Linked DNA regions of Diceros bicornis minor. The protein of the gene in region 1 purifies or fractionates together with the protein of each later gene. This does not show direct contact. Links are inferred from orthologs where the notes say so. Each region holds a gene or a part of one and is shown on either strand. Other genes may lie near its edges. The genes, in order: MICALL2 and RAB8A.

What was found.
Region 2: the proteins of MICALL2 (region 1) and RAB8A purify together in Homo sapiens (co-immunoprecipitation; 3 studies listed by BioGRID and IntAct, with this or other methods). This does not show direct contact. The link is inferred for Diceros bicornis minor from reciprocal best matches to the Homo sapiens genes MICALL2 and RAB8A.

Annotation. Positions count from the first base shown.
Region 1 is NC_080765.1:13,065,980-13,077,980, reverse strand, and holds the start of MICALL2 (MICAL-like protein 2), read right to left. Parts: upstream 5,930-12,001; coding exon 5,787-5,929; intron 1-5,786. Other genes in the region: basic proline-rich protein-like, read left to right, coding at 5,928-6,291, 6,407-6,588. UniProt on the Homo sapiens protein: Effector of small Rab GTPases which is involved in junctional complexes assembly through the regulation of cell adhesion molecules transport to the plasma membrane and actin cytoskeleton reorganization.
Region 2 is NC_080759.1:4,349,274-4,360,724, forward strand, and holds the start of RAB8A (ras-related protein Rab-8A), read left to right. Parts: upstream 1-5,539; 5' UTR 5,540-5,574; coding exon 5,575-5,698; intron 5,699-10,191; coding exon 10,192-10,252; intron 10,253-11,451. Other genes in the region: TPM4 (tropomyosin alpha-4 chain), read left to right, coding at 1,251-1,333. UniProt on the Homo sapiens protein: The small GTPases Rab are key regulators of intracellular membrane trafficking, from the formation of transport vesicles to their fusion with membranes.

The DNA.
Region 1 (12,001 bases):
CACCAAGTCCGAGCTGCTTCCCTAGGCCCTCAAGGCCTCCACAGCTGGGCTGGACCACCTTGGTCAGTCCTACGGCTGCCACACCCCTCCAGACCAAGCCTCCTCCTAGTATACCCCTTCCCAGCTTCCAAGCGTTTGCACACGCTGTTCCCTATGCCCGAATGCCCCTTCCCATCTCTGCCTAGCACACCTGCCAGGCCCCCTCCCTAGAGGCACCCTGCAGGTCCCCGGGGGGATGCTTCTCTGCCTCCAGCTGGCCAACGCACAAGCTCATGTCCCCTGCAGCATGCGGTTGAGCTGGGATCGCCCTAGTCCCCGAGGGCTGCACAGCTCGGAGTGGAGGCCAGGGCACTGGCGGAAATCAGTCAGAGTCACAGCCGCCTTGCAAGTCCCTTCAGAGAGCGCCAAGCAGGGACCCCACCCGGCCCTCTCAGGAAGTCCAACAGGACCAACTTTCCACCAGCAGGGGGACTGCTGGGGTGACGGGCTGGATTGTGCCCCCCAAAAGATCTGTTGTAGTCCTAACCCCAGGATCTCAGAACATGACCTGACTTGGAAACAGGGTCTTTTCAGAGAGAATCAAGTTAAAATGAAGTCACCAGGGCAGCCCTAATTCAAGATGACTGGTGTCCTTATAAAAGGGGGATTTGGATGCTGAGATGCCCACAGAGGGAGGACAACATGAAGACACAGGCAGGAGATGGCCGTCTACAGGCAAGGGCAGAGGCCTGGGGCCGACTCTCCCTCTGCCTCCAGAGCCAGCCACGCCGGTCCCCTGGTCTTGGATTCTGCACTGATCCGTGAGACGACGTATTCTGATGTCGAAGCCGCCCATGCTGCAGGACTGTGTTCCGCAGCCCCAGCAGACTGATAGCCCAGCTTTGGCTGACCCGCGGGGAGGCAGCTGGCTTCGTTCAGGGCCTTGCTGGACCAAAATGCGCTAGCTTCACCCTCGCTCAGCTGTGAGCCTGCACACCAGGCAGGCTGGGGCCTGGGGCACCCTCCCCAGCCACATCATTTCTCGGTCGAATTCTCGTAATTTAAGATCTGGTATGTTCTGGTACGACTCCTAGGTACCCGCCATGGGGCCAGGCACACAGCTGGCGCTCTGTAAATGCTTGTTGATGAATTAATTCATCCAATGCTGGCCGAGCCAGGGGACCTTTGTGGCATTTGTTCATCCTATCAACCTTGGCCGGGTGAATGAACTCATTGGGTCTATATGTCCATTGTGCGACTGTTCACCCGTCCACTGTCTGCTCGGTGCCAACGTGTGCGCAGCCCCGGCCGGCGCCTGGCCTGGCTGGGAGAGCCTGAGGCACGGCCTCCTGCCTGCCTCACCAGCCACAGCTGACCAGGACCATGGACCTCAGATCATTGAAGCAGCCAGCCTCCTGCCCAGCTCCTCAGGGGCTCTTGGGAATGTGGACCCCCTTCCAAATTCCTGGAGAGCTGACCTCATGCTGTTTATTTCCTGGAACAGAATGCGCCCCGTGGGGGGTGGGCGCTGGGCCTGGAGGGGGGCTGACGGTGGGGTGGGGGAGCGCTGTAGGCACCTCCAGCACATCTGGAGTCACTCCCGCCTGCGGGAGAGGGCGACAGACAGACAGACCGACGGAGAAAGGCTGAGACACAGAAGGGAGAAATGGTACCGAAAAGCCCAGAGATGAGACAGGAGAGGCCACAGGTCCAGAGAGAGGGGTTCCAAGGAAAGACACACCCCGGCAGACACACAGGAAGCCCTTGGGAAAGGGCGGATGGCGCTGGGTGCGGAACGGGCCATGAGGAGATGCCGGGGGCCCAAGGCAGGGAGAAGAGGTGCTGGCGCCGCATCCCAAGGCCCCAACCTTCTCGTGGGCAAATGAGACGCCTCGGTCTCGGCTGCCCAGCTGCCGGCCTCCGCAGGCTGGAACAGACTCTGACCCCCACCCCGGCCTCAGAGCAGGGCCCAGCCAGGAGGGGTCAGCCCGGGGGCTTCTGGGGTGGCCTGGGGGGGCATCACAGGGGCGCTGGGCCCTGGGCTGCCCCAGGGAGGTGGGCTGGCGGCCCCTTTCCACCGGAAGGCGGCAGCTGGGCCTGGGCAGCAGGACCTCAGGCCAGAGAACAGAAGGCCTCTGTCCCCAGGCGGCTTCCTGCTGACCGCGAGGCTGGCGTGGGAGGGGAGGTCAGCCTCGCCGCCCAGGCCCACCCCACCCTCTGCTCCAGCCCAGGGAACAGGGCTGCCTCCAAGCTTCTGGGCGGGGGCCCTCTGGAGTGAGTCTCTCCTGACCCCCCACAATGGGCGCGTCTCAGAGGGCGGTCAGGGAGACGCCCCTGTTCCTGGCCCGGGCCCCGCCATCGGCCCCTGAGCTGGAAGAAAAGGACAGGTCACTGCACCACAGGACTGAGCGAGGAGAGCAGCAAATATGCAGCAGAACCCCCATTTCCTGACACCCTCCCCTGGCCCAGCCACAACTCCCACAATGGCCCGGCCTCCGTTGTCCCTGGAGAAGGCAGCCAGGAAGCCAGCCCTCCTCCGGGCTCCTCCCCTGGAACCTCAGTCCCGGCAGATCAGGCCGGAAGGGGAAGGAGCGGCTCCAGCCCTGACAGGCTGACTGCCCAGGGAGGCAGGAGGGGCTGTTTGTTCTGGGCGGTTCCTGAGCTCACCTGGCTGCTCAGCAGACGTGGCGTCACCGGGAAACAGACCCTTGAGAAAACCTGCAGAAAACCTGCAGCTGCAGGCACGGTGGGCATGGTGGGCGCGGCAGGCTGACCTCTCGGCCAGGCATCGCTGGGTGAGCCCATCTCCCGACCTCCAGCGGAGATTCACTTCCCAGGGTCCCCAGGGGGCCACCAGCGCAGGTCACACGTGCCCCCGGGAGCAGGGCCACATGGGGCGGCGGAGACGGAACCAGGAAGTAGCGTCAGGCAACCTGTGCCCCGACCTGGCCGGCTCAGCGCCCAGTCTGCTCCTTCGCAGCTGCTCCCCGCACACCGCCAAGAGGAAACGGAGCCGCATGCAGCAGGAAGGATCGAGATGAGACAAGGGAAGCAATTCCTGGTGGCAAAGCTGGGGCACGTGGAGACAGGATGTCCACTTTCCTGCTGCCAGAGGGTCTTACCAGGATGGGGAATTGGGGGGCTCCCCCGAAATGACAGCCACCCCGCAGGTCCTTCACCACTGGGGCAGAGGCATGTATCCAAGGCTGTGCTCGTTTTCTGCTGCTGCCGTGACAAATGACCACAGACCAGGCGGCTTAAAACCACGGACATTATTCCCTCCCAGCTCTGGGGGCCAGAAGCCTGACATCAAGGTGTCGGCAGGGCCACACTCCCTCCAGAGCCTCTGCGGGAGATGCTATTCCTTGCCCCTCCGGCTTCCGGTGACTCCAGGTGTTCCTGGGCTCGTGGCCGCAGCATCACTCTAGCCTCTGCCTCCATAGTCACAAGGCCTCCTCCTCCTCCTCCCTACGGCACTTGTGCACCTGAAGAGCCCTTTGCAATGACAGCTACCGAACTCCTACCACATCTACTGAGCCCCAAGTGCACGACCTCATCTATAGAACTCCAACTCCGTGCTGATCTCTACTGAGTGCCTGTCCTGTGCCAGGCACAGTTCCAGGCACTGGGGATCCAGCAGTGGACAACACAGAGAGCTACATTCCCACCCTTCTGGAGCTGAAGGTCCAGTGTGGGCAGACGGACGAGACGATAACCGAGTCAGCAGTAAATAAGATAACTGGATGTTCACACGTCACTGCGGGCAGGCGGGCAGCCTCCTCTTCCTCCCTGTCCCAGCCCTCACACCCTCTGGAGCTACCTTGAGCTTTTACTCACTCATCTGTGCACTGTCTGTCTCTGTGACTAAAACGTCACTCCCTGAGGCAAGGGCCAAGTCCATCTTGTACACTACGCAGTGCTGAGTAGACAGCAGGTGCTCAATAACGGTTACATGAACGGCAATAGGATGCCTGCTTGTGCCAGCACGTGTACACACCCATATGTGCACGCCTGTGCTCACCGCGTCAGTGCGTGCTGGGACAGGCGCACACACACACCCAGGCCTCTGGTCTCAGCACAGCTGGGAGCACATGCAAGCTCCGGGGGCTCGGAAAAGCCCCAAATCTTCAGTTCTACCTGTGCCGTCGTCCTGAGGCTGCTGCACTGACAGACAGCGGCATCATCTTTCCCTCCAATCGCAAACTTATGCTGACCCCACCCAGGCTGCCTGGGCTAGGTCCCCAGCCAGCCTTACCCGGGCCCCTGCATGCACCCCCGTGGGGCTCGGTCCCCAGCCAGCCTTACCAGGGCCCCCGCATTCACCCCCATGGGGCTCAGCCTGCCAACCTCCACTCCTGGTCCCTCTCCCAGTTTCCACATCCCCAGCCCACCCCCATCAAGGCTCAGCTTCGGGTTTCAACGTGGAAGCATCTTCTGCCCCGGTCTTCTGCCTCTAAGGGCGACTGAGGCACATCCCTGTGTGGGGAGCAGAAGCTGCTGCCCAGATACCACACGAGGACTCCCCACGGAGCCCCAAACATGCATTTCCCAACCTCAGGCAGGAAGAGGAAATACCTGCAGGCCTCTTTCTCAAGGCTAGCTTTCTCGCACAGAGGGGTGCTTGGGGACAGTCCCTGAGGATGCAAGGGACATCTGGGTGCAGGGGAGGTGCCCCAAGAGCCAGCCCTGGCTGTGCCTGACGTGTGCTGTGACCTGAACAACGGTGTCTCCTCTCCGGGCCTCAGCTTCCCCCTCTGTACAGCAAAAGGCCTGACTGGTCAGTATCTAGAAGGTGCCCCCTCTGGCCTCTCCCAGCCCCAAGACCTCCCTAGCAAGCGCACCCCTACCGACCCCAGGTCCAGCCGCCACTTCTCAGGAGAAAGCTTGTCAACACCACGCTTTCTCTAGAAGGCGCCTGGGCTACAGGTGGCCCTCCAAGGACACCCTTCCTGAGCCTCCGCCCACCCAGCCCCAGCACTCTTCCCTGCAGCTTTCCCCATCTCAAGTTCACACGGGGCTTGGGGCCGGGGCCTCCCTGCACAGAGCTCTGTCCCAGCAAGCCCGGTCCCAGTCACAGCAAAGAGTGTTTGCTGAGTGAACAACGGCTGGAGCGGGTCCAGGGTGGGGACAAGATCTGGCAAGGCAGGGCCAGCGTCCCAGCCAAGACTCCAAGACCCTCCACAGGGATAAATGACCTAACCCCCTCCGCTGCCCACTTTCCACGGCTCCCAGGGATCCGGGCCCAGCCTCCATCTCATCCCCCATCACCCTAAGGTATGGAGGCCTGGCTGACAGGACCTGGGGGGTCTCAGGCTTCCTGCTCTGTGTTGGCCCCTCCCCCATAGTGACCCTGGGCTGCGTTCCTAAAGCTGCCTGGACAAGCTGGGGGAGGCGCAGCTCCACACATGAAGCCCCCCCCCAATCCAGTGGGCAGGTCCCAGGACAGTGGGGATCGCAGAAGACCCAGAAAGGCAGCTCTGCCGGCCGTTTCCTAGGGAGACGGAGGGGGATGGGTGGCTGTGGCCAGAGCCCAGGACGCTGGCCTGAGTCACGGACTGACTAAGCCAGCGGGGGTGGCCGGACGTCCTGGCTCCGGCCCAGCCCCACTTGGTGGACAGGCAAACTGAGGCCATGGGGTAGCCTGCAGGGGCCACAATGGGTTGCACCTGCGGACCCGGTTCTGCTCGGCCCGAGGTCGTCCCCCCAGGGCCGCGGTCCCGGAGGTCTGACTCGGTGCCCACTCCCCCGGCCCGGAGCGGTCTGGCCTCAGTTTCCCCGCGGGGTCGGGGCGCGGCGAGGGCACTCACATGAGGTCGGGCCGGTGGCGGTGCAGGATAGCGCAGAAGGCCAGGCCGTCGCGGAACGACGTGGTCATGTTGGTGATGCTCACGTCCCGGTAGCCCTCACACTGTTGCCGGCACCACTGCTGCAGCGCCTGGATGGCCGCCATGCGGGCAGCGGCGCCCGGCGCACCGCGCTCCCACCGCTCTTCCCCGAGCCGCGGCCCGGCCGCCCTGGACGGACGCTCGCGCGGACCGCAGACCCGCCGATCCCGGAGGGCGAACCCAGCCCGAGCCCGGGAGGACAAGGGGACCGACGCCCGGCGGCAGCGCCCCGTGGAAGACGAGCAGCAGCTGCCGCGCAGCCGGCGAGAGCCGGCCCGAGTCCGCCCGCCAGGCCCCGCCCCCTCTAGGCCGCGCCCCCGGACAGAGCCCCGCCCCCAGGCAGAGCCCGCGCAGCCAGGCCCCGCCCCTGGGCAGAACTCGCTACAGCCAGGCCCCGCCCCCAGGCAGAGCCAGACCCCGCCAGACCGTGGCCCCGCCCGACCACCCACGGCCCTGCCCCCTCCAGGCCCTGTCCCCAAACAGACTCCGCTGCGGCCAGACCGTGGCTGGCCTCAAAACAGAGCCCGCCTCCTCCCCTCCAGGCTCCTCCCCCGAAAAGAACCCGCCCCCGCCCCGCCAGGCCTCCCCGCCCCGGACCACGGCCCCGCCCCGCAAGCCCCACCCACTTCAGGCCCCCTCCCTGGACAGAGCCATTGGCCCAGGCCCCGCCCCCAAACAGACCCCGTCCTCGGATAGATCACAGCCCCGCCCCAGGCCAGGCTGAGCTCCGTGAAGCCGCGCCCATCCGCCAAGGCCCCGCCCTTCCCCACCTCCCTCCCCTCGCAGCCCCGAGGCAGGGGAAGGGGCGGCGCCCAGCCTGGGGTCCCCCCCTCCACTGCTCCCGGGAGGCTTTGGCATTGTCTGTTTTCAACGTCCCTCACCCGCATTCCCCCCCCCACCCCCCCACCCCTGTCATGGAGAGGTGGAAGACAACGCTACTTTACACACGGGGAAACTGAGGCTTGCTCGGGGTCACGTGGCTAAGAAATGGTGGAGATAGACCCCGGCCTGCCTGTGGCCCTGGGCAGCCGTGGCCTCTCCGGAGGCTCCCCCAACCCCCAGCACGGCAGGAACACCCCTGGCATTTCTGGGTTTTCAGAGGACTTTCCCATCGGGGTTCTCATGCTGGAGGAGTGGCAGGCAAGGCAGGGATCACTACCCGATTTACAGAAGGGACAACTGAGGCTGGGCGCTGCACTGCCCTGCCTGGCGTGGCCCATAGGATGGGGAGGGGAGGGAAGGGTCCTCCTGGGGCAGGAGACCCCTCAGGGGTCTTGGTGATCTGTTCTGTTTCCCAGTTTTCCACTTTGAGCATCTGTGACACACATCATTAAGGAAAAGTACCTCTTGTGGGGCCCTCAGTTACCCCAGGGCTGGTCCCCTCCACATTCTTCTTGTGGAACTCTATCTGTGGCCACCTGGACAGAGACACTGACACCAGAAATGTGAGATGGTCCCCCTGCCTGGCCACCTGGCCCCAGGGCTTGTCCAGACAAGGCCCTAGGGAAAGAGGGAAGGTGTTTTCCCAAGAACAGCCCCTGGCAGGGAGACAGGGCAGCTTCTCTGCACCCACTTGAAGGAGCAGAAACTAAAGTCTTCCAGCCCAGAGCCAGCACGTGGCATTCCAGCTGTTTCCTGTGGCTGGATCCTGAGGTGTGGATGCCCAGCTACCCAAGAGTGAGTGAGGCCTGTGCGGAGGTAGTGAGCTCCCCGTCGCAGGGCGCGTGCAAACAGGTGCTAGACAGGGATTCCCTTTGACCTGGGATGACCGCTGGCCACGGCTGCTGCCCTGATCTGCTGGGGGTTCCCAGCCAGAGGACAAAGGGTGATGTCATTCCAGTTCAGCCAGGCTGGTGGCTCGTCCCGGAACCAGGAACCAACCGGGCTTTCTTGACCCCCAGGGCAGCAGTTAGGAGAACTGGAAAAGCCGGTGAGGAAGGGAAAGGCCAAGAAGTAGTGGTGGGGGAAGAGAGTGGACGAGGGTGGACAGGGCTGGAGACCCACTTCCCTGGGAAGGAAGTGGGAGGTGGCTGGAGCTCTGATGCTTAGGAGTTTAAGCTGCACTCTTGCCCACCGGTCACCATGCGGCCTCCTCTGGGGACAGTGACTTGGGAGGCAGCACAGCACGTATGGTGGTTTCCCCCTAGCACCTCACACACAGCATGTCCTTCTGTCAGCTCGGCTCCTCTCCAGGGACCCCCAAGCCAGGACACACCCAGTCCACCCACTTCTCCCCACTGCCACCCTCCCGTCCAGGCCACCGTCACCTCGCCCCTGACCGCTGTGCCAGTCCCCTTAGGCTCCCTCCTGCACTCCGGCCACTATGGTCTACCTCTCCCCAGCAGCTGAGGGATCTTTCTAGAAAGCCAATTGGTCCAGCCCTTCCCTGCTTTGCACTCTGAATAAAGTCCAGGCTCCTTATCACACCTCCCACCCCTTATTGCACCTGCCACACCCTGGCCTCACCCTCCCTGCCTGCCCTGCCCCTTCTGGCCTCAGAGTCCCCGCCCCGCTGGTCCCCTGCGTCCTCCACGACCCCAAACCAGCCCCATCCGCAGCCGGCCACACAGTTGCTGATGGGGACTCCACCTGGCCAGTTGCTCAGGCCAAAAGCCTCCTGTCCTCTCACTGCCCACATCCAGTCCCACAGGAAACTGACCACTGGCCACCTCCACAGCCACCACCAGGGGTGAGCCTGGATCTCCACAGGACCCTTCTAACCGTGCCTCTGCTTCTGCCTTGCCACCCACTCTGTTCTCAACACAAAATCTTTAACAGTGGGAGTGACAACCTGCCACCCCCTGCTCACACCCCTCCTCTGGGCCCATCACCCTCAGGAGGAAAGCACAGTCCTTATAATGGGCCGTCCAACCCTCCCCACACTCCTTACCTCTCCTACCTCCCTCCTACAACTGCCCCTCGGACATGCTTATGTTTCTGCCTCAGGGCCTTTACACTCACTGTTTTCTCTGCCTTGACCAAGTTTTCCCGCCTCCCTTGCAGCCTCCCTTGGGGGCCATGTGACTGAGTTCTGGCTGATGGAGGTGATGTGTGCACCTCCAGACTCTCCATCTTCCCTAGTCTGCTGGCTGGGTGCAAAGGACCTACCAGATGATGGGGCTACAGATGGAGGAGCTTGGACACTGCAGGGTCAGGCAGGTGGCCACCGCTGACCAGGAACAGCTGTGCTGGCCTGTGGGTGAGCGAGAAATAAATGTGAGCTGGGTTCGCTTGCTGGAACTTTGGGTTTGTTTGTTACAGCAGCTAGCTAGGGTCTCACCCTGGCTGGTACACACACACAGATGCAAAATTGCACCTGTGACAGCCCTCCAAGGGGACTCAGTGCCACTCGATGGTAAAAGAGGAACCCCTGTCTTGGTGCAAAAGGCCGGAGATAGCGTCCCTGGGGAGGGGACATGAGCACTGAGATCTGAAGGGAGAATGGGGATTAACTCATCAGAGGAAAGGGAAGGATCTCCCCAGCAGAGAGCGTGGCGCAGGCAGAGGCCCCGCAGGGGAACGACGGCACAGACAGGAGTGAGAGGCTAGTGCAGCCGCAGCAGAGGAGCAGAGAGGAGGGGGCAGGCCCCACCAGGGCCCTACTCCAGCCTCTTCTATCAATTCTCACGCCCATTTTCTCGGTTAGTCCTTACAGCCACCCTTTAAAAGTGGGTTGACCCTACCTGTTTTGCAGCCGGAGAAACAAGTTCCGAGAGACAGGGGGGCCCACCCGCCCAGCCCAGCAGCGGGGCAGGGGGGCAGGTGGGCCCAAGGAGCCTGGGTCAGCTCAGGCTATTGCCTGCTGAGTGGCCACCTGGGCTGGGACAGGACTTCCAGGCTGGACGTTCTCAATTTCCCCACCTCCTGCCTCCAGCACGTGTCTGACCTCTTGGTAATGATGGAGGGGCCCTCCCTGGGAGGAAGGGGAGGCCTCAGCCCTTCGGGCTGGCAGGGACAGGGCTGGGGACCCAGGGAGGGACAGGGCCAGAGCCATCACCAACTTTCATCCAAAACGCTGGCTCCAGCTGCACGTCAGCTTGGCTCCTGGAGGACGCCATGGCTACTGCACCCCAGGAGGGTCTCCATGGTGGGGACCGGGTAGGGACTTTGGCGTGGTGGGGTGGGGTCGGTAGACCTTTCAACTGGTGGATTCAGCCCCCAGTAACTGATTGGACTGAGGCTGCTGGACCAAGTCCGAAGAGAATCGGGGTTGCTCGCCCAAACGCAGCAGACCTGGCAGTGCCTTGAGCCTCTGAGGCAGAGGGAGGAACCAGGAGGGAGGGAATTGGGGGGCGAGAGAAAAAACAAAGAGAGGTGCCCTGGCCCGTGCAGCCTTTCCTGTGGGACTTCTCAGAGCCTCCATCTCTTGATGTGTTCTGTGACTCCCAAGGGAATGGCCGCACTGCACAGCAGTTCCCAAACCGACTTCCCTGAAGAACCTCCACTGCAGGAGCGTCTCACAAGATGTGAGTCCCGTGGAATAGAACTGGGAGCCCTGGCTGGCACAAAGGCACAGCTAGGAGTCAGACCAGCAGCCTGAGTAGGAATGCCCGCTCAGACACTGGCTGGCCCTGTGACCCTACAGAAGGCTCCTCACTTCTCCGAGCCTCCTCATCTTCACAGTAACATGGGGCCTCTCATCCCCGGGTGTTTAGGGAGGATGGCACCAGGGCTGACCTGTGGGCACACAGCTCCCTGCCCAACCCACGGTAGCAATCATGGTTGTAAGAGATGGATGCTCAGGGGGAGAGGTGAACAGAGCCCCCTGGAGTGGATGCCAGCCCCCTCACCGTCTGCACAGGAAGGATGGTTGGAGGGTCACACTGGCCTCACAGCAGAACGTCCAAGGGATGTCCCCTCCTCCCCCACTTCCCAAGGCCACAGTCAGGTCAGCCAGTGGCTCACTTGGGTGTCCGTGGATGCCAACGCCATCCCTTCGGCCCTAGGCAGGAGAGGGAGCTGGACACTGCAACACCCCATTTTAAGGGGCTGCCCATTAATTAGGCCCGATGAATAATGCATGCCACCTCAGTATATTAATAGCATATTTATATGGTGTGCTATGGATAGTATACGTCCTCGTCTGAACACCTCACAAATAATTCACGACCCTGCTCCTCTCCCGGGCTCCAGAACCTGGCCGGGGCTTCAGCTGGGGCTCGTGGGTTGCTTCCAACAGCCAAATTTTACATTTCATTATAAATGGCTTTGCTGGGCATGTCGGTAACTTTTACATTTCCATCCACTTTATTATTAATGGCTTTCCTGAACTGTAACAGCCCAACGTCGCACACAATGCATTATAAATATTTGATTCAGCATCTATAGTCTGCCATTTATCATTTATAACGGGTTACAAAAACATTATAAAACATTTACCGCACATTTATAGATCATTTTCAGCTACTACGACGATGTGTTAAAAATACATTATTAATCCTCCTCACGCCACTTATAGGAGCCCCTTGTAATGGGGCCTGGCCCTCCCGGCTCCTGGTAAACAGAGCATGCAGGGGCTGGCGGGGGTGGCCAGGCAGCAGGACCAGGGCGGACGGAAGCCCGGCCCTGCCTCTGATCTCTGTGTGTCTTGGACCAGATCACAGCACCTCTCTGTTCACAAAACAGGTCACAGTGACAGATGCCCTTTGTCGAGCCCTTTCTGTGTGTCAGGTGCTGCTTACAGCCACCCTGGGACTTAGGCATCACTTTCGTGCCCATTTACAGATGTGGAAACAGGCTGGGAGAGGGAGTGACTTGTACAAGGCCATATCCAGGGCCTGCTGAGTGGCATTAGAGCCCAGGGGTGTCTGTCTGTGCCTCTGTGTTACCTGGCCCAGGGCTGGGGGCCAGAGGTCAGATGAGGCTGCCCCGCCCCTCAAAGGAGCAGGACTGGAGGACTCCAGGGAGTGGAACTCAGACAACAATTCAGGGTGAGAGGACTCGGGGTGGGGGACTCAGACGAGGAGGATCTGGGTGGGGGCCCTGGGATGGGGAGACCCAGGGCGGGTGCGGGCCTGGGCTGGTGCACCCGCACTCTGGCCTCTGACCCGGCAGCCCCTTGGCTCCTGCAGCCGCATGCTTTGCCATCGCAGTGGCTCTCTGGGCTGGAATTTTGGCTGTGGGCACCTGGAATACCG
Region 2 (11,451 bases), on another chromosome or scaffold:
AGCTGTGCAGCCTTGAACAAGCTACCTAGCTTTTCTGCAAAATAAAGGTGATACTTCAGCGACTGCAAGGATTAAAAGAGATAATTGAGAAATTGGCTCACGTATAGTAGACACTCAGTTACCACGTGTTCATCCAGACGGGACAGGCCCAGGTCACTGTTCTCTCTCCGAAGGAACCCTCCCAGATCATAGTCACCTGATTTTTAAGTGCCTCATCAAATGAAAGGTTCACTAGTTGTAGTTGAAAGGCTGCCATTTTTGCAGTCTCTTTTTTTTCTTTCTGAAAATTTCCAAGCTGATCCTATCACATTTTATGAGGCATTTTTGCTTTCCTCCAGTATTTTAATGAGTCTTGGCCTAGTCCCTTATCGGCCATTGCTCATTGCAAACCAGTTCTCTCTCGTGCTCTGTCATGCATAGCTCTAAATGGCATCTTACTTTTTTTTTTAATCTATTTCAGCAGCTCAATCACTTAATAACATACCCGTATGTAAATTTCAGCCACGTTGCATTTACTTGGGTTTGACTACATTGCTATGGACACACAAACACAATAACACAGTAATGCCTGGAATTTAAACAGCCATTCCCAGAAACTCTAAAGGAAAGATGGGTTACAGGATTATATTTTTCTACCAAAGGCTAATTGACTGGCACTAGGAGGAAAATGTATTAAGTCACCCATAACTAGGATTAATATCTTATGTTTGTGTAGCACTTCATAAGTTCTAAAGCACTTCCCATTTGTTCCTCATAATAACCCCTATACCACACATTGGTATTGTTATCCCCATTTGACAGATGGGGAAACTGAGGCCTAGAAAGGTTAAATGGCTTACTTTGGTGGCAAAACTGGGGCTTAAATCCAGGTGTTCTGACTCTAGGATTGTCAGATTTATTAGCAAATTAAAATTAAATTTAGCAAATTAAAATACAGAACACCCAGTTAAATCTGAAAGGGAATGAATAAATTTTTGATATATCATGCAATATTTTGGGAAATACTTATGCTAAAAACTTCTCTCTTGTTTATCTGAAATTCAAATTTGTATTTTATCTTGCAACCCTATCCAAATCCCTGATTTGGTACTTGATCTCTATTATTCTATGGTACTCTGCTATAATTAAAATGCAAAGTACCTTCTCTGCTATGACTTTAATTCTGACAGTTGGGAGTTTAGAAACCTTTTTTTTTTTTTTTAATAAAGATGCTTATTAATTTATTTTTCCCCACTCTTAATCCTCACCAGAAAAACTTGCCCAGGCCAAAGAAGAGAACGTGGGCTTACATCAGACACTGGATCAGACACTAAATGAACTTAACTGTATATAACCAAGACAGAAGAGTCTTATTCCAACAGAAACTCCAGAGCTCCGTGTCTTTCTCTTCTCTTGTAAAAAGTTTGTTATTGCATCTTTGCTTTGCTGGAAATGTCAAGCAAATTATGAATACATGACCAAATATTTTGTATCAGAGAAGCTTTGAGCACCACTTAAATCTAATTCCTTCCTTTTTTTCAAATGGCACCAGCTTTTTCAGCTCCATTTTTATCCTTAAGTTGCATTTATTCCTAAGGTAGGCAGGGTATTTCGTATTGAGCATACTCTTAAGACTGAGGGCATTTGGTTCCTGGGAGAATAGACAACCCCACACTTTCAGAACACAGACTCCAATATCTAGTCATGGGTCAATTTAAAAGGCTGAAGGATGTAACCTTCTGTACCAGCATTGGTCACACTACAGGAAGCAAGGGACCATCACATTAAAATGGGTGGGGAGTTTCCATCCAGAGCAAAAACAAAAAAACCGGGGGGGGGCTATTGTGGGAAGTCATAAAGCACAGATAGATTAACCTAATCATCTTCTTTTCCACACTCCACTGTGCAGAACAAACATCCTCTGAGCAGTCAGCACGAGAATGCTCAGGAAATGGTCATAATTACCCCAGTATTTTCTGGATAGATCTTTGATGTTATGCTGTTTTATGTGTTTTATTCTAAAGTTGTTCTGAGGAGCAGATGTCTAACTCCAATAATGACCCATGCTTGTCTGCTCTGATATGAGGCCATCCACTCAGCAGGAATGAATATGGTAGAATTCAGTCCTATTCAGAGAAGCCATATCAAAAAGACTGCTAGCCATCAATAATTGAGCAAGAGTGTTTTTCTGTTAACAAATACTGGGCAGAAGTAGAGAATAAAAAAAAACTGGCCTAACTTCATCTCCTCTATACTTAAGGGAATGACAAATTGAAGATTTACTTATCTAGGACTTTAATTCCTTCTTTAGGACCAAGTTAATAAAAGACCAAGAAGCTCCTGATTAAACTGGATATGGAGTATTTTGTAGACAGGGGTGCACATTTTGGCTTTGTTATATTTCTGCTTTCTCAGTTAACATCTCAGAGCTGAAACATTCCACATTCCCCAGCAATGTGGGGGCCAACTCAAGTTTACAATTCTGACTAAAAATCACCCTGCTTCTAGCTTATCCAAATCCTCTGCCCCTCACTCCTATTTATTAAGCATCACACTACCCAGGAGGTACACTAGCAAACTGTGCAACTGAATAAAACCCACACTTTTCATTTAGATTCTTGCAACTGTATCATATGTAATAGTATCACTTTTTCTACATTTTGGTCAAATAAATTTTTACATAAACTACAATTTGTGTGAATTTTGGAGTGTGGGGACATACACACCATTTTGGTTCAATGAATGTTAATGGGATGGAAAGGACAGATAACTGCCAAGAACTTAGCAAATGTTATTTATTTGCTTTATACCATGACTTCAAGATATAAGGATTATGATCTCTATGTTACAGGTGAGAGCACTTTGTCTCAGTAACTCAAAAGCTCCTGTTATCCCCAATCTTGCCTGGGCCAGGCTGTGCAGAGTAAGATTTTAATAGATGAGACAGGGGCAGGAAAGATGGTCCCTGTTGAGTCCATAAAGCACAAGGCCTGCCTGGGTAAGGTCTTCTGTATGTTGCATATAAAAAGGAAAGCAGTAGGAAAGCTGAAAGGTAGGCTGCATCTATAATGATGCGGGCCTGAACTTGACTGCGTTAGAAGTGGAGAGCCACTGAAGACTAATCAATAAATCAAAGAAATACATTAGGAAAATCCACTTAGCATTTTCAGGAAGGACTAGAGTAGGGGCAGACTAGAGGTTGGAAGACCAGTTAGGAAGATGTTTCAATTAATCAGGATAGTGCTTGCCATAGAATAAGAAGGAAGAAGTGATCTGAAGGAAGTAATCTTAAAACTTAGCTGACTGGATGGCAGGGAACTTAAAGAAGCAAGTGTCAAAGCGGACTGCAGTTTCACTACCTGAATTGCTTTGATATTTGCCTCAGGATCTGATCTTGGGGAAGGGGGACAGGGAATCAAAAAGAAACGAAAGCCTTTAAAACATTAGTGTAGTATGCAAGCAATTTTTTGTTACCAACTACAATTAAAAACATTTCCTTCATATTTCCTTCATACTCAACACTTGGCTGACACTGTTGAGCTGGCAGATGCAGGGAACGTCAATGAATAAGGTGTAACCCCTCCCGAGTGCCCTACCATGACTAGATTGAAGTTCCTTCTCTCCCTCCTCCGCACCCCCCGGACGGTAGTCTAATCTCAGGATACCGTTTGTCACCCTCGTGCCTCACTCCTTAACGTGTGCTCCGTGCCTGTTGACCTGGCCTCGGCTCTTGCGGCGTTCGCAACGCCGTGAGGTGAGGTGGAGCGCAGCGGGCGGCGAGCGCCCGGTGGTGCGGACTTGGTGCTGCCACCAGGCCGCGGATGGGTCCTGGGTGCGTGTTTTAGAACGGCCACACTGCAGGGTGGAATCTGGATTAAAGAATGATCCGGATTAGGGAGACCAGTGGAGAGAGGCGACCACTGATGGGAAACGGAAATACAAGACCCGGATTCGAGAGCTATTCAGAACCTCCTTCAGACCCAGGATGTGAGGGACGAAAGGAAGCGTCCAGGACGACTCAGGATTCGCTCCGAAGCTACCTCAGGACAAGCTGGAGCGCGCAGGAGAGGACAAGTTCCGTCGCGGACATGCTGACAAACCCAAAGGCAGACGCCCAGAGGGCAGGGGGTGACGAGGCTGCGTCGCGTCCTCCGGGGACCGGCACTCACAGCGAGACGCCGAAGCCACGCCGAGAGCGGGCACGCACGTCCGCACAGCCCAGCAGAGGAGGGCCGCCAGCTAGGCACGAGCGGAGAGCCCGACCGCCTCGGCGGCACCTGAGGAGCAGCCCCAGGCCAGGGGGCGGGGAAGCCGGCCGGTAAGACGCGAGGGCACCAGCAGAGAGGGTGCCGGCCGCGCGGCCCGCAGTCCGAGGACCACCGGAGCCGGAGGGGCGCAAGGGGCACGGCGGCGGCCGGGCCGTCCTGCGGACACCCCCGTGACCCACGGCGGCGCGGCCACAGCCCATCCCCGAGAAGCGGGAAGCCGTGGTGGTCGAGCCCGCGGCCGCCGGCTCGTCGGCCTGAGTTCAGAAGCCGGCTTCCCCCTTGCGGGGCCGGGGAAGGCCCGCGCCTGCCGGCCCGGCTTTCTCCCCACACACCCGGGCGGCACCTCCCGCCTCGGGGCCGGGCGCGGAGGAAACGCCCGCGCGTGCGCTGTGAGGGCGACAGCGCCGGCGGCCCGGAGCCGACGCTCACAAGCGCGACCTGACTCCCTCGCGGGCTCCCAGCCCCGGCCCTCAGGCGGCTGACCGGGCGGCGGCGGGCGAGGCCCGGGAGACAGGAGGCCGAGAGAGGCCCGGACAGCCGCTAATGCAGTCAAGGCGCGTCCTTAGGAGCCCTGCGCACCTCCGGGCGCAGCTCGCGGCGGTGAGGCCGCTCAGGCGGTGGAGGCCCGGCTATCTCGGAGTAGGTCGCCTGGCCAGCGCCGAAATGGCAGAGCACGTCTCGGGGAGTCCTCGCTTCGACTCTGACGAGCGTCCGTACGTTCCTCTGCTCTTTGGCTCCCAGCGGCCTGACGCGGAGGGCCGCAAAGCACAGATTACAGCCGCCGTCTCTTCCCGCGCTCGTCCCGTCGCCTACTGAGACTGCGCGGGCCGTGAGGGCGGGAGCCAGAGACCCATGCGCGTGCGCCCTCTGCTGGCGCCTAACGATCTCCTCAGCGCGCGTGCGCACGCGCCCCAGGCCCCGCCCGTGGGCTGCGAGCGCGCGGAGCCGTTGGCGACGCACCCCCCACCCCTCCCGTCAGGGGACGGGGCGGGGCCGCCCAGAGTCCGGGAGGCGGGGACACGGGGGTGCCACGGCCCCGCCCTGATCCCCATTTGAAGCCCCTCGACTCGTCACCGCTGGCCAATCGCAGCCCGCCCTGTACCGAGCGCCAGCCAATGAGCGGCGTGCTCGGGCCGCTTCCGGCCCCGCGCCCCAGTCGCCCCTTCCCCAGCTCTGCTGGCGACGGGCGGGGCGCGGGGGCGGGCGTCAGCCGCAGTGACGCGCGACGGGCCGGGAGCCAATGGGGGGCGGGCTCCGCGCTGATGGACGGGGCCAGCGGCCAGTGGCCAGGCACTGGCCGCACTTCCCGTTGGGGAGAGAGTGTAATATGGCGAAGACCTACGATTACCTCTTCAAGCTGCTGCTGATCGGGGACTCGGGGGTGGGGAAGACCTGTGTCCTGTTCCGCTTCTCCGAGGACGCCTTCAACTCCACCTTCATCTCCACCATAGGTAGCGGGGCCGGCGAGCGGCCGGGCGCGCCCCTGACGGGCTGGGGTTGAGGGAGCGGCCGGGCCGGACTGACTGAGGGCTCTGAGAGGGTCGAGGGGGCCGGCGGGGAGAAGAGTGGCGCCTCCACCGCCGTTCGGGGGTTCCCGGGCCATGGGGAGGGCCGGGTGTCCATTTAGAGAGGCTGAGGCCTCGACCCCCAGCCCGCTTGTCTGGGAGCGTATGTCCTGGGCTGGGGTCTTGGCGCCCGTCATCTCCTGTCGTCGCAGAGGCCCTCGAAGCGGTTCTTTGGGGTCTTAACAGAAGTGGAAACTGAGGCGCGGAGAGTTGGCCATGGGAAAAGGACCGTGACATCTGACTTTGTCGAGCATTTATTGTCTGCATATCACACTCTCCAGGCCTCTGTGTTAGCTGCTGTTAGGAGCCCATCTCACGGAGGAGGAGTTTGAGGCTCGGGGAGGGCACGGGACTCGCCCAAGGTCACACAGTGTGCAGGTGACAAGGATGAGATTTGAACCCAGGTGTGTCTGACCCCAAAACTCAAGGTTCAACCATCCCAGAGAGATGCGAGCACTCACCCCCAGGTCAAGCACAGCTGATCCCCCTCGGAGCCAGGACTCCAACCTAGACTTCCCCTGCTCTTTCCTCTGGAATATTCAGGAGTTGAGCCCCTCCCCCTGACTCTGTTTCCCCTGTGGCTGAATTTCCTCTAGAAGGAATGGTGAGAGGGAGTCCTGACCCTTTTCCTGCCCAGCCTTCTGACCCAGTCAAGGTGACAGCAATGGCAAGTGACAGCTGCCTGCCCGTCATCCCCAAGGAGATGCCGGATTAAAGCTTCAGGGAGAAACTAAAATCAGCCAGTGCCACAGACAACCCTGACTTCCCTATCTCGAGGCCCAGGACACCGGTTGTCACTTTGCAGAACAGCCTTTCCCGCAGGGCCAGCCCACATTGTGGTTGAACAGAATTGGCTTACCACTCCTTGGTTCTGACGTCCACAAAAGTGGAGCTGACTTCGCCCCCTGCCACAAAAACTGCCACTGCCTACTTGGAAAGGTTTGATCTGGGGGTAACATCAGTCACAGAGTGGCCTGTGAGCCTCACTCTGGAGTGGGGAAGTGAGACAATGGTCGCCAAGCTCAGGAGTTGATCTCAAATGGAGAAAACCTAGGGAAGGGGCTTTGCTTTACCCCCGTGTAACTTGAACCCAATCGCCTTATCTCCCTGAACCCCACGATGAGCTGCTGATTCCGTCTTTGCTCTCCTCCGGAAGCGCACTTTGCAAAACACTTAGGTGCCAAATGCTGAGAAAATTAGACTGGAAATCATCATGCCTGATTTCCAGCCACCACTTGCCGTTGAACAAGCACTTGACTTCTCTGAGCCCTGTTTCTTTGGTTTAAGTGTGGTGCTTTCTGCCTTGACCAGTGCTCTGGATGGTTGAGGATCAGAACTGTACAATGACTAGGGGCTTTGTCACCACTGCCAGAGGCTGTCTAGAGGAAGCAGAATGGCTCCTGTAATGACAGCAGCCCTCCCCTGGGCACAGGTGTTTCAAATTCCTCCCCTTCCCCCACTCCAAGGTCAAACTTTGGGATAACCTTTGCATCCCCACCAGTCAAGAAGATGTTAACTCCTGGCAGGTTGTGGCTCTCTCCCAACCCAGACCTCAGTTTCCCGGCGTCGGAAATTTCTTGCTCAGCAAGAGCATTAGTGAGATCAATTTGGGAGTTGGGGTTTTTCTTTGGTTTCAAATTCTTGACCAGAAAACCCAGTCTAGCGCTTTAGGGCTCCAAGGAAGCTGGCTTCCATTTGCAGGCGAAGACGTGACTTGGGCGAGGTCGCATAGGGAGGTGAAGGTGAACTTGACCCAGGATTCTTCTCATTAGATATGTAGCTTCCTGCAGGCCTCTGTCTTCTAGGAAAGTTTAAATCACTCAGACCTTGAAGTTATGGCCTCATAATTCTTAGGCCCCATAAAATTTATACTTCCTAATTAAATTTGGTGTGTTAATATAACCCAGGAGGAGGATAGGGCAGAGTGATGCCGTGGAGCTCTGCCAATTGAACAGTACTTCTTGATTTCGTATGTCTCTGTGCATCTGTGACAGGAGGTGGGTAAAGAGACCACACTGGGCCGCTTAGTCCTGAAATACAACTTAATGCATAAAGGCGATTCTCTGTTGGCACTGAGTGTACCTCCAGGTTTTCTTTATAGATTTGGGATTAAGTGCCTGTTCATTTTCTGCCCAGGTTTCATTTTGCCAAAGCCTGTTCTCATAAGCTGCATTGATCATTAGTGGTGTGAACTTGGCCCTGTGGCTCCCTGGAATTGGTTCTGCCTAGCCTGGCTCTGCCCCCACTGCCCCTCAGGGCCTCATTTATTCATTCCTTAAGGAGATGGATGATGTAAACTGTGCGGCACCACGAAGACCCCGATGCACTTAATTCTTTCATTCAGCTGTCTTTCCCCAACGCCTCCTGCGAACCAGGCATCCGCCTCCGTGCGGGGGTTGCAGAGATGACTCGGATAAATCAGAGGGAAGCAGAAATGTAATGAGGTCTGTGCTCAAGGTGTGTGTGCAGGGCGATTGGCTTCTAGCAAATGTGTATTCAGCCCCTGCCCATGCTTAGTCATTGGAGATGCTGCCCAGAGTAAGAAGTGGGAGTCCCTGCCCTCGAGGAGCTTATTTCTAGTGGGCAGAATCCAAGTGCAGGCTTATGTTCCCTGTGGTCCCCAGGACAGCTCCTAGGTGGGCAGGGCTGGAATTAGCATCTCCATCATGGCCTGAGCCTCAAGTCAGAGATTGAGAACAAACTCCCCATGCCAAAGGCTAGGTTTGGCTATTTCCCCTCCACGCAGGCCATTCGCATCATTCCCCTCCACGCAGGCCATTCGCATCAGCAAGTTTTACTCTTGGGTTCATGGAGCAAAGAAACAAATATACGATGTCGGGGATAAGTGCATGAAGAAGAAAAAGCAAGTGAGGGGAGAGAGAATGCAGATGGTCAGGAAGGCTCCCCTGAGGAGGCAACTTGAACAGAGACCTGAGTGAAGGGAGTGGGGAGCCAGGTGGCCATGGAAAGAAAGAACATTCCAAGAGAGAAGAGAGAGCAAGCGTAAAAGCCCTGAGGCCAGAATGGGTTTGGGATCTTTAGGAATCAGCTATGAGGGGGGCATGAGCCATGGGTGCTGAGAGGTGACCAGGTTAGGCAGGACCTTGGAGCACACTGGCAACTATTTTCACTGTATTTGGGGGCCGAGGAGGCAGTGGGAAGCCACTGGAAGGTGTTTTGGGGTTTTTTGATAGTTATATTGAGATATAATTCACCTACCATACAACTCACCTACTTAAAGTGTACAATTTGGTATATTCACAGAGTTGTACAATTATCACCACAGTCAATTCTAGAACATTTTCATTATTCCAAAAAGAAACCCCAAACTCTGTAGTCACCCCGCCTGCCAATCTCCCCATTCCCTCCACAGCCCCTGGCAACCACTAATCTCCTTTCTGTCTCTCTGGATTTGCCTGTTCTAGACATTTCATATGAGTGGAATCATACAGTATGTGGTCTTTTGTGTCTGGTTTCTCTCACTGAGCACAATGTTTTTGAGGTTCATCCATGTTGTAGCGTGTGTCAGAGCTTCATTCCGTTTTATGGCTGAGTAATATTCCCTTGTATGGATATACCACATTTTGTTTAACCACATTTTGTTTATCTATTGGTCTGTTGGTGAACACACTGGAAGGTTTGGAGCAGGGGTTAGCTTTGTAACATGGTTGAATTTGTGTTTTTGAAAGCTGGGGAGGTGACTGAGGGGGCAACAGTGGGAGCCTGGAGAGCAGCCAAGGAGGCCAAGAGGTCGCCCTCATCCTGAGGAAAGGGAACTAAAGCCCGTGGGTGGGAGAGAAGGAGGGCAGGATCAGGAAGGCTTCTTGGGGGCTGACCTTCTAGCAGATCTTAAAGGAGAAGGGGAAGTTTGCCAGGCTGATGGGCGGGTGGAGTGGGGCCCCTGGCAGAGAAGGACCAGCATGTGTGAAAACTGGAGACCCATGTGTATCATAGTGCATTGAGGGGCCCAGTGCACCGTGTGCTTGGAGGGCCAGGTGCAGGGTGGCGGGAATCGTGGGTCTGTGACCTGCCAAGGGCTCTGTTGGGCCCACTCGGCAAGCTACCTGTGGGGGAGGGAAGAGAGCAAGGCTTTGGCACCTGAGCTGCTCAGGTTTGCCCAGCAGCTCTGCCAGCTGCCAGCTTCGCTCTGAGAAGCTCCTGTCCCCCTTGGAGCCTCAGCTTCCCCTTCCATGAGGGGAGCAAGTTCTGCAGCTGCCTCCACATTCGTTGTGGGGATTCCGAGATTCCACGCGCACATCACCGGGTAGGTGCTCCCTAAGCCGTGGCTGCTGTTCCCTGCACAGGTTGGCAGTGCCTGCCTCAGAGGCAGCTTGGGAAATGGGCTGACAGTAATGTGCCTCTTTTTTCTTTTCTTTAAGGAATTGACTTTAAAATTAGGACCATAGAGCTCGATGGCAAGAGAATTAAACTGCAGATATGGTAAGAGTCGCTGTCTTCATCAGCCCCTTCGCCTGGCAAGCACTTCAAGTCAGAAGCCCCTGGTGCCCCCTCCCCCTGCCCTGTGACCATGGCCTCCATCTCTTTGTGCCCAGCCAGACACATCAGGCTTTCTTCAGAAGCCCCAGGAGCTGTACTCTTCTGGTTGCTGGGGCCCAGAGTCTGTTCCAGCACCTTCTGGGGACATAGCTACAATCCCGCTTAGCTCAGCATTCTGATGTGGGCACAGCCTGGGCTTCAGAGCAGCCTGCCTCCATTGAACTCGGAGAGAGCCCTCTGTGGCTGGCGGAGGTGAAGGCTGCCAGGATGATGAGATGCCCCAGCCGGGCTTTGTTTCTGAGACTGTCAGCTTGCTGAAGAAGGCCTGATATCGCTTCCTCTTTTCTCTCCCGGGGAAGCCCAGGCCTCACTTCCTAGTGCGCAGCCCTGAAACCCCATAACCAAAAATAAGCTGAGACCACGCCTGGTAATGAGGCCTGTTTCCATTCCGCTCACCTGGGGCTGACTTCCCGTGCCATGTAGAGTTAGAGAAGCTGTGAGTTCCCGTCACTGACGCTGACTGTGGGCTGCTGACCACTGCACTAGGAACACTGAGCTCAGATGGTCAGGTGTCAGGGAGTCCCGCCCTGTAGCCACATCACTTGCAGGGAAGCACAAGGCCCGTGCAAAATAAAGAGAAGCCACATTTGGGAGGGCGGCACGGTCCCTCCATTCCAGGCAGGTGCTGGTGGGTGGGAGGGAGCCCGTGAGATGCGCTGTGAGATGGCTGTCCTCCCTGCAGCCCACTGGCCTCCTCAAGTCTCGGCGTGACCGTCACCCCACTTGCCGCGTGGGTCCCCTCCACTTCAGTGGTGTTCACCTCTGAATCTGACTTCAGAATTGAAATGTGAATGAGGCCTGACGCCTTGTCAGTCCTACACAGCTCAGTAGTCAGTCTGTCTGCGTTGTAAGTTACGAGCCATGGAAGTTCCTCGCCTCCAAATATGTTGTAGCCTCAGTGCCCAAGTCCAGAGTGGCACTGTGTTAGCAAGCGGAAGCTTCGCTTTCCCATCCTCCCGTTTTCCTGCTTCTGCTCTTAGCAGTCTCAATGGGGTTAGTGACTTTCTTAAAACTCTTCTGGACCAGGCCCACAGTTGAGAATAAAATGATTGTAACCACTAATGTTGCCTGCTGTTGGGAGC